Linked DNA regions of Callithrix jacchus. The protein of the gene in region 1 purifies or fractionates together with the protein of each later gene. This does not show direct contact. Links are inferred from orthologs where the notes say so. Each region holds a gene or a part of one and is shown in the gene's direction. Other genes may lie near its edges. The genes, in order: GTSE1 and ACAD11.

Evidence for each region.
Region 2: the proteins of GTSE1 (region 1) and ACAD11 purify together in Homo sapiens (co-immunoprecipitation; 3 studies listed by BioGRID and IntAct, counting the BioPlex papers as one, with this or other methods). This does not show direct contact. The link is inferred for Callithrix jacchus from reciprocal best matches to the Homo sapiens genes GTSE1 and ACAD11.

The regions. Positions count from the first base shown.
Region 1 is NC_133502.1:213,685,243-213,689,729, reverse strand, and holds the start of GTSE1 (G2 and S phase-expressed protein 1), read left to right. Parts: upstream 1-1,626; 5' UTR 1,627-1,837; intron 1,838-2,137; 5' UTR 2,138-2,158; coding exon 2,159-2,237; intron 2,238-4,487. UniProt on the Homo sapiens protein: May be involved in p53-induced cell cycle arrest in G2/M phase by interfering with microtubule rearrangements that are required to enter mitosis. Overexpression delays G2/M phase progression.
Region 2 is NC_133518.1:51,460,951-51,464,761, forward strand, and holds part of ACAD11 (acyl-CoA dehydrogenase family member 11), read left to right. Parts: intron 1-697; coding exon 698-797; intron 798-3,029; coding exon 3,030-3,155; intron 3,156-3,708; coding exon 3,709-3,811. UniProt on the Homo sapiens protein: Acyl-CoA dehydrogenase, that exhibits maximal activity towards saturated C22-CoA.

The DNA.
Region 1 (4,487 bases):
AGTGTATCACAGAGCAGGAGTGAGAGAGAGAAGGGGAGGCCTCAGACTCTTAACTGAAATAACCAGATCTATGTGAACTAACAAGAACTCATTCGTCACCAAGGGGATGGTGCTAAGCCATGCATGAGGGATCTGCCCTCCTGATCAATGACTTCCCACAAGCCCCACTTCCAACACTGGGATCGCGTTTCAACATGAGATTTGGAGGGGACAAACATCCAAACTACGGCATATCCTACTGGGGGAAGGTAGAAATGACTTTGTGTAGATAGGCCACACCTACTATGTGCTGACATGATACCGGGAGGAGTATCAGGAGTGGATGTTGGGGATCCCTCTGCCACTCTCCCAGCAGACATCCCCAGGACGAGCCGAGAGGCGAATGCGATGAGCAGGCCAAACTCTTTCCAAGCTGTTTGATCACACCCGCCTACCCCAGCACGCTCAGCCCCTGCCTGCTGCCCTGTGCTGGGCTAGGGAGACTGATGAGTGAGGGCTGGGCTGGGCTGGGCTGGCCTGCCCTTTATGATCCCAGGGTCTTCTGGTGAAGGAGCACAGCAACATGGAGTGATTGGTGTGGATGATGGAAAACCAGGGACATGGGACCCGGAAGTGGCTCCAGCCAGCCTGCAAGGCCTCTGCCCTGGGGCCCCGGTGGCTGCTTCCTAGACAGCTCTCCACCGAACGTGCCCAAATAAACAGCTTATCTTCCTCCCTGAAAATGGTGCTCTCCGGAGTTCCGTCCTTTCCCCGGCGCGTCATCCCAGGCCCCTCTTCCTGCACCCTCCTCCATCCATCAGTCCTGGATAATCAAAGCTCCCACTTAGTGACGCTGTGCCCTGGGTGGAGCCCCTCATTCCATCCTCAAGCCCCCGAGTTGGGTATTACACCTGGTTGGCTGGCAAAGCGAGGTCAGTCTCAAGTTGCCGCCCACTGACCCGTCGGCCAGTCCTGTCCTTGCGTCTCTATGGCTCAGGTCAGGGATGTCCTATTTGCGTCCCACCCCTCCCCAGCATATGCACTCCGCAAGGCAGGCTCCATCACCGGGGGCCTCTCTCCTCCACCGCAGCTCCCCAGCTGGCCTGTAAAGCCCAGGACAGGCTCTCGCCTCGCCCTCGGCCGTCCTCAGGCCTTGGCGGTTGGGGAAGCCCGTGAAGGGCAACGGTTCTCCTCCGACCGCACAGACTGTGCAGCTCGGGCCATGAGTCTCCTGGTCCCTGAGTCACCCGGCGCAACCGTGCGCGCCCCCGGGCAGGGACCGCGCCTTTTCACTACTGTGTTAGTAAAAGCTGGCGCGCGCGGCTTCGCAGAAGGTGGGTGAGCCTACTTGGTTTAGTTCTTCCCATCGACACCCTTAAGTGGCAGTTTTAACTTTCTCCTTACACGAAGAGCTGCCCTACGTGGTTCCGGCTGATGCGGACGGCGAAGAGACACTAGGCGACCAGGTCAGGCGCTCTTCCGGGTGGGAGCGCCCCCCCCCCCGCGCCGTGCGGAGCCAATCACTGCGTTGAAGCAGTTCGCATGCGCGCGGGGTGTTTCTTACCGGCGTCCCGACTACAATCCCCAGGATGCATCGGGCCCACCGCCTCACGGAGCCCTTTTCAAACCCACCAATCGGCAGCCCGCGTCGTTCGGCGCCGCGTTTAAATCCGTACCGGAGGCGCGTCCTGCGTCGTCGCGGCTCTAGGTAAGGGGGTCGGGGTCGGGGGCGGGGGCGAAGGGTGTTGGGTGGGCCAGGTGCCCGCGGTACAGACGTTCTCGGCACGGGGAGGGGCCGCGTGCCACCGGGAGCCGGGCCTGGGCTCGAGCCGGGGTTACCGTGGCGCCTCGCACCAAGGTCTGGGATGTAGGGAGGTCCAGGGCTGCCCCCCCGCGCAACCAGAGCCCCCAACACTCTGGCCCAGAAGCCGAGAATTCCGTTATCTCGTCCGATAGCGCTCGGGCTGACTCCGGGCCTGGCGGCACTCGGCCCCTGGGGTCCCCTGGGATGCGATTATTTCAGAGCGACCCCGCACCGCCTCTCCCGGACCTGGCCACGACCTTTAGTTCTCTCTGCCCCTGTGAGCCGAAGGCTGAAGGAACCAGGAGCCCTGGGCCCTGACACGCGCTCACCTTCTGGTCCCCTTTCACCCTGCAGTGACTTCTGACAGCTCTCTCCATGGAAGGAGGCGGCGGCCGCGATGAGCCTTCAACCTGCCGGGTAGGGGACGCGAACGTGGATGACCCTAAGAAGGAAGGCAAGTCCTTGCCGCTGCGGCGCTGTTGTTGTTTAGGACGTTCAGTAGAGATGGAGGTTGATTTAATGTTGCCTTGAGAAATTATTTCTTTCTCAAGTGTTCGCCTTGTATTCTGCACCTGTGAAACACATGGCATCTGTATTTTCTGGTTTTCTTTCACCTCCTCCCAGTTTTAAGCTTCATCACAGCCAGGATTCCCATCAGTTTTACTTAGCACAGTGCCCCCATGCCCTGAACAGTACCTGACACTTTGTGGGTGCTCAAACGTTTGTTGAATTGAATTCGACGTTTCCTTTTTTTGTCGTTGGTTTCTGTTCGCTAAGACTTTTTAGGATCTTTGAGACCTTGTTAATGAGTGAGTCTGGCCCAAAACTTTCCTTTCTTCTTGTGTCTTTGTCTGGTTTGGGTATCAAGGTGAGGGTACAGCTTCACAAAATGAGTTACAGACCACACCCTCTTTTTCTCTCAAAGCGTGTTTTTTGGTTTGTTTTTGTTTTTTCAGACGGCATTTCGAGGTTTTTGCCCAGGCTGGAGTGCAATGGCTCCATCTCAGCTCACCACAACCTCCGCCTCTCTGGTTCAAGCAATTCTCCTGCCTCAGCCTCCCGAGTAGCTGGGATTATAGGCATGCAACCATGCCTGGTTAATTTTGTATTTTTAATAGAGACAGGGTTTCTCCATGTTGGTCAGGCGTGTCTCAAACTCCTGACCTCAGGTTATCTGCCCACCTCTGCCTCCCAAAGTGCTGGGATTACAGCATGAGCTACCATGCCCTGTTTTTTTTTTTTTTTTTTGGCTTTTTGTTTTGTTTTGTTTTTTTGATGGAATCCTGCTCTGTCACCCAGGCTGGAGGGCGGTAGCGAGATCTCAACACTGCAATCTCTGCCTCCTAAGCTGAAGGGATTCTCCTACCTCAGCTTCCTGAGTAGCTGGGATTACAGGTGCCCACCATCACACCCAGCTAAGTTTTGTATTTTTAACAGAGATAGGGTTTTGCCATGTTGCCCAGGCTGGTCTCGAACTCCTCAGCTCAGGCAGTCCACCCTCCTTGGCCTCCAAAAGTGCTAGGATTATAGGTGTGAGTCATGTCACCTGGCCTCAAAGCATTTTCATATCCTTTTATCCTTTGATTCTCACGCTATCCAAGGATTTCGAGGCCTAGTCTCACTGTGTCCCCCAGGTTGGATTGCAATGGTGTGATCCTGGCTCACTGCAACATCTGCCTCCCGGGTTCAAGGGATTCTCCTGCCTCAGCCTCCTGAGTAGCTGGGATTACAGACACCCACCACCATGCCCAGCTAATTTTCTTTTCTTTTGAGATGGAGTCTCACTATGTTGCCTGGCTGGAGTGTAGTGGCGCAATCTTGGCTCACTGGAATCTCTGCCTCCCAGGTTCAAGCGATTCTCCTGCCTCAGCCTCTGAGTAGCTGGGACTACAGGCATGCGCCACCATGCCCAGCCATTTTTTTTGTATTTTTAGTGTAGACAGGGTTTCACCAAGTTGGTTCGCCAGGATGGTCTCGATCTCTTGACCTCGTGATCCACCCGCCTCGGCTTCCCAAAGTGCTGGGATTACAGACATGAGCCACTGCACCTGGGCTAATTTTGTATTTTTAGTAGCGATGAGGTTTTACCATGTTGGCCAGGCTGTCTCAAACTCTTGACCTCAGGTGATCTACCCGCCTCAGCCTCCCAAAGTGCTGGGATTACAGACATGATCCTGTGGCTGGGCCCCAAGCATCCTCAATGCCCCTATTTTGCAGGAACTGTCCTGGAGACTTTGCAAATCACCGTTGCATCTTCATCTAGAGAGGCGCTTGCCTCTGCACCCTGTCCTCCCTCCTGTCGTGTCCTCCCTTTCCAATAAGTCCCTTCCACATGCATGCTGCACCCGCTGCTCCTTCTCAAGGCCTTCCCCACTTCCGTCACCCTGGCTTCCTCTCCCCACTTCTCCACTGTCCACTGGATCGTGCTCCTCCACATTCGGATACGTTCCCTTGTCTCACTTGTCGCCACGTCTCCTCTGCTGCCTCCACTGCTGTGTTTCTCCTTCCAAGCCAAACTTCGAGCGCTTTCTCACTTGTTCTGTCACTTTTTCCACCCCTCAACCCCTCCCGTTCCAGCTTCCATCCTCATCACTCCATTCAAGCTGTATGAAAACAGTTCATTGCCCAGTCTCTTGTTACTCTTCTAGTCTTGTTGAATCAGAGTGTGTTTTTCGGTAACGTTCATCCTCTGGACGCTTCCCTT
Region 2 (3,811 bases), on another chromosome or scaffold:
TTTATTTCATTTAGATCTCTCCTTTATACAGTTGGATTCTTCAAAAGTTGGGTGATTCTTAAATGCCCATATTATAAGTGAAGGTATAGACTGAATAGTTTTGGTAGCTGAAGTGTTTATACTTAGTCTAGGTGAGAATTTCTGTTCATCTGGCAGGGAAAGGCAATGCCCTGGTGTCTGTGAGTTAGCTGGGCCAGCATTGCACTTCCCTGGACCACATGCTCACTGTGGGACCTCACTTCTCAGAACTCCCATTGTAGAGAGCTGAATTCATGCACTAGCCTTGGTGACATCTGTGGGGGTTATCTCTCTAAAGGCAGATGAAGGGGAATTAACCCAGCTGTTCCTGCATCCTTTAATTCATTTTCTGACTGATATTTAAAATCTCTTCTCTGATTCTTTATTTACTTACATCAGTCATTGTTCTACAGGTTCTCCTAATAAAACTTATGATTTGCAGTCAGGAAGTGGAGTCCTCTCTTCTACCTGTGTGGGTCAGACTCTTCAGCTGCCAGTATGTTGCCATCTGCTTTAATATCATCTAGAAATTCATGTTGTGAGCTGCTGATAGCACCTCTCTTGATTTTCTAGCACTGGGATGAATTTATTTTCATTTTTCTCTTCTGACATTTCAGTAGGATTTGGGGATAAAGGAAAATATATCTTTGTAATTGACCTTTTCTTTACTGTTATTTAGATCAGGACAGTCCAATCCAACCTTTTATCTCCAGAAGGGCCTTCAAGCATATGTGCTCAGGAAAAAACCACCAGGTTCACTTCTTCCTAAAGCACATAAGGTATAGTATACAAATGTAATGTTAAATTCTTTGGTGACAAATAAATGTTTTTAATACACACAAAGCCAATATACTTTTAAAAGGCATTCTATGATTGCCAGATAACATAAAATGCATTTTATTTTTAATGAAAATTTCCCTTTAATTATATCTTGTCTTAAGAAAGGATTTGAGGTTGAAATGTAAGCTTATCTTTAGGCTATTAATCTTGAACAATACCCACTTCTTTTGTGTATTTGATTTTCCTCTACACTGTTGGCTAGAAGTAAAATCAGCCAATGAATAGTTTCAGTGCTACTCCTCTATAGATATTTTGGTTTTGTTATATATGTAAATTATAATATATAATAGCATCTACTCAGAATTATTTTAATATATTTGCTATGATAATCCTCTAATCTTTTGGTGATAAAAAGAAAGATTTGAATAAGTATTTTACAGTACCCTCTAAATATTAGACAGTGAGAATTATAAAATATTTTTGTTAAAAACTAAGTTTTTCTGTCTTCAGAAAACATTATTATCTATAGATTTCCAGAGAACAGAAAGGGACAGAAATCAAAGTACTGGAGAACATTAAAAGCACTGTGTGTATTTAGAATGTGACTGTAATCATGTACAGCAGGTGATTCCCAGGCTCAGCTCACTAGGGAAGGGCAGTTGTGGGGTAGACTTAATATCACAGTATTAAAAAATGTAGATTCTATGGGACTTTCTTGGTCTCATATCATATTCCCAGAAACATGAAGGAACTTGGATGCTTAAGATAAAAGAGTTGGGTAACTTTTATTAAATCTCAGTATGGCATGGCTGAAGGAGAATCCCTACCCATGCCCCAGTAAACAGCTTTATTTGTCTCTTTTCTTGAAAACATCCCACCTGAACACATCAGAACAGGGCATAATGCTCTCAGCCCAAGTACAAGGATCGGGAGTACTTTGTTTCTACTCCCTTCATTTTTCTCAACGCTGCACTGATAAAAGCAATGCTCCTCCTATGTGATCCTCTTTTGCTTGTCTAACCCTCTTGCCCTCTCCCCCTTTCCCACCTCCCCCTCATCTCCCAACACCAGAGAGGTTACAAACACTTTTTTCCACAGCCCCTGATACCCCTGGCTTCTCTCACCTTGGACATGGGTTTCGTTAGTTTCCTGTTCCAGTTACTGCTGTAGAAGCTGCTTTACTTCCTGATATCAAAATGAGCTGCATACTTTCCCCTCCTTAGAATGGTCAGTCGCCATTGTCTGAATCGGAGGCCAGGTGACTGATTACATGCAGATGAGCCATCCTTACTTCGCCTGCATCAACAGCTCTTCCCTTGGGTCCTGAGTGATAGGCCTGTGCATCTGTCCTACTTAAGGAAGCCATTTTCTTCCTACTATCTTATTTGGGCTCCAGTTTGCTTCCAGCTGCCTACTTTCCTGGTAGTTATCTTGAGCTCCACAGCAGTCCTGAGTGCCAGGAAAGATCCCCATGTCCCTGCCCTGGAAACACATGCCTCCCATGCTCTCCAGAAAGGGAAGGTACTTTTCCTTCCACCACCACCCACCTCTCACCCCCAGCTCTCTTTAGCTGACTGCAGTAGAGTGCTAGAATAGAGACTTACCTGAGCTTCCTTGGAAGACCTGAAAGAACAACCAGCCAGCCAGGGAACTGCTGAGGACAAAAGGATGTTTTATGATAAAATATGTGAAATATTGTGAACATTATTGCCTTGGCATTATCAGAGCTAGTATTAAGTCTCATGCAGGTGCTCATCTTCTTATCCTAATTAGGCCGAGGCAGGTGAATCATGAGGTTAAGAGATCGAGACCATCCTGGTCAACGAGGTGAAACCCCATCTCTACTAAAAATACAAAAATTAGCTGGGCATGGTGGTGTGTGCCTGTAATCCCAGCTACTCGGGAGGGTGAGGCAGGAGAATTACTTGAACCCAGAAGGCGGAGGTTGCGGTGAGCCGAGATCATGCCATTGCACTCCAGTCTGGGTAACAACAGCGAAACTCTGTCTCAAAAAAAATAAAATTACATTTTTTAGCAGTGGTCTAATTTGTAATCATGATTATACCAAGACCACTATTAGGAAAATTATTATTACTATTATCCTCTGGGTTATTTGTTGATACGGTTTTACAGTTGTTTTCTAACCTTAAGGTTAGCTCATGAGTAGGTATTAAACTTAATTACAATTAAATCAATTTCTCTGATTTTTAATGATTCATCATCCTATTTAGATTGATAGAGAATTTAAGGTCCAGAAAGCCTTGTTTTCAATTGGATTCCCCGTTCCCAAGCCTATACTGTACTGCAATGATACGTCTGTCATTGGAACAGAATTTTACATAATGGAACATGTGCAGGTAAATTAACACTTAATCTTATTTTGTTGTTGCTTTTACTTTTAATTATGAAGTTAGGATGTTTTATTACATGAAGTTTTATTATGATACTAATAAATGATATAGTTTGTTATTTAACATTTTAGGTAATTAGATTGCTTTGCAAAGGCTTAAAATTTTGTTCAAATGTGAGCACTTACAAAGGGCGGGATGTAATAGACAAGAAACAAATTTAGTAAGAGGTATTGAATTTTTCTTAAATTTTCCTCTAGGTGTCAGTAAAGAGCTATATGTAATGGCAATAACCAACTTGTCTATAAGGTAGCAGGGAAAACGCATCTTCACGTAGTTTAAGCCATTAAGAACAATAAATTCAAAATGTGTTTTAAGTTTTTTCTTTAAAATAGTTGAGAGTAGTTTTGATGTTTATAGTCATCTTGGCATATCCTTGTATTTTCCCTTTGGCACATATACTCTAATATTAAATATATTTCACAAATGAATGTTTTTGTAGTAGATTCTGCAAAGTATTGGTTGCACACATTTAAATAATCTGTTGTAATCACTTCCATAGGGTCGAATATTTCGTGATTTAACAATGCCTGAAGTTAGCCCAGCAGAACGTTCAGCCTTGTATGTGGCCATGGTAGAAACACTGGCTCGGTTACATTCCTTGA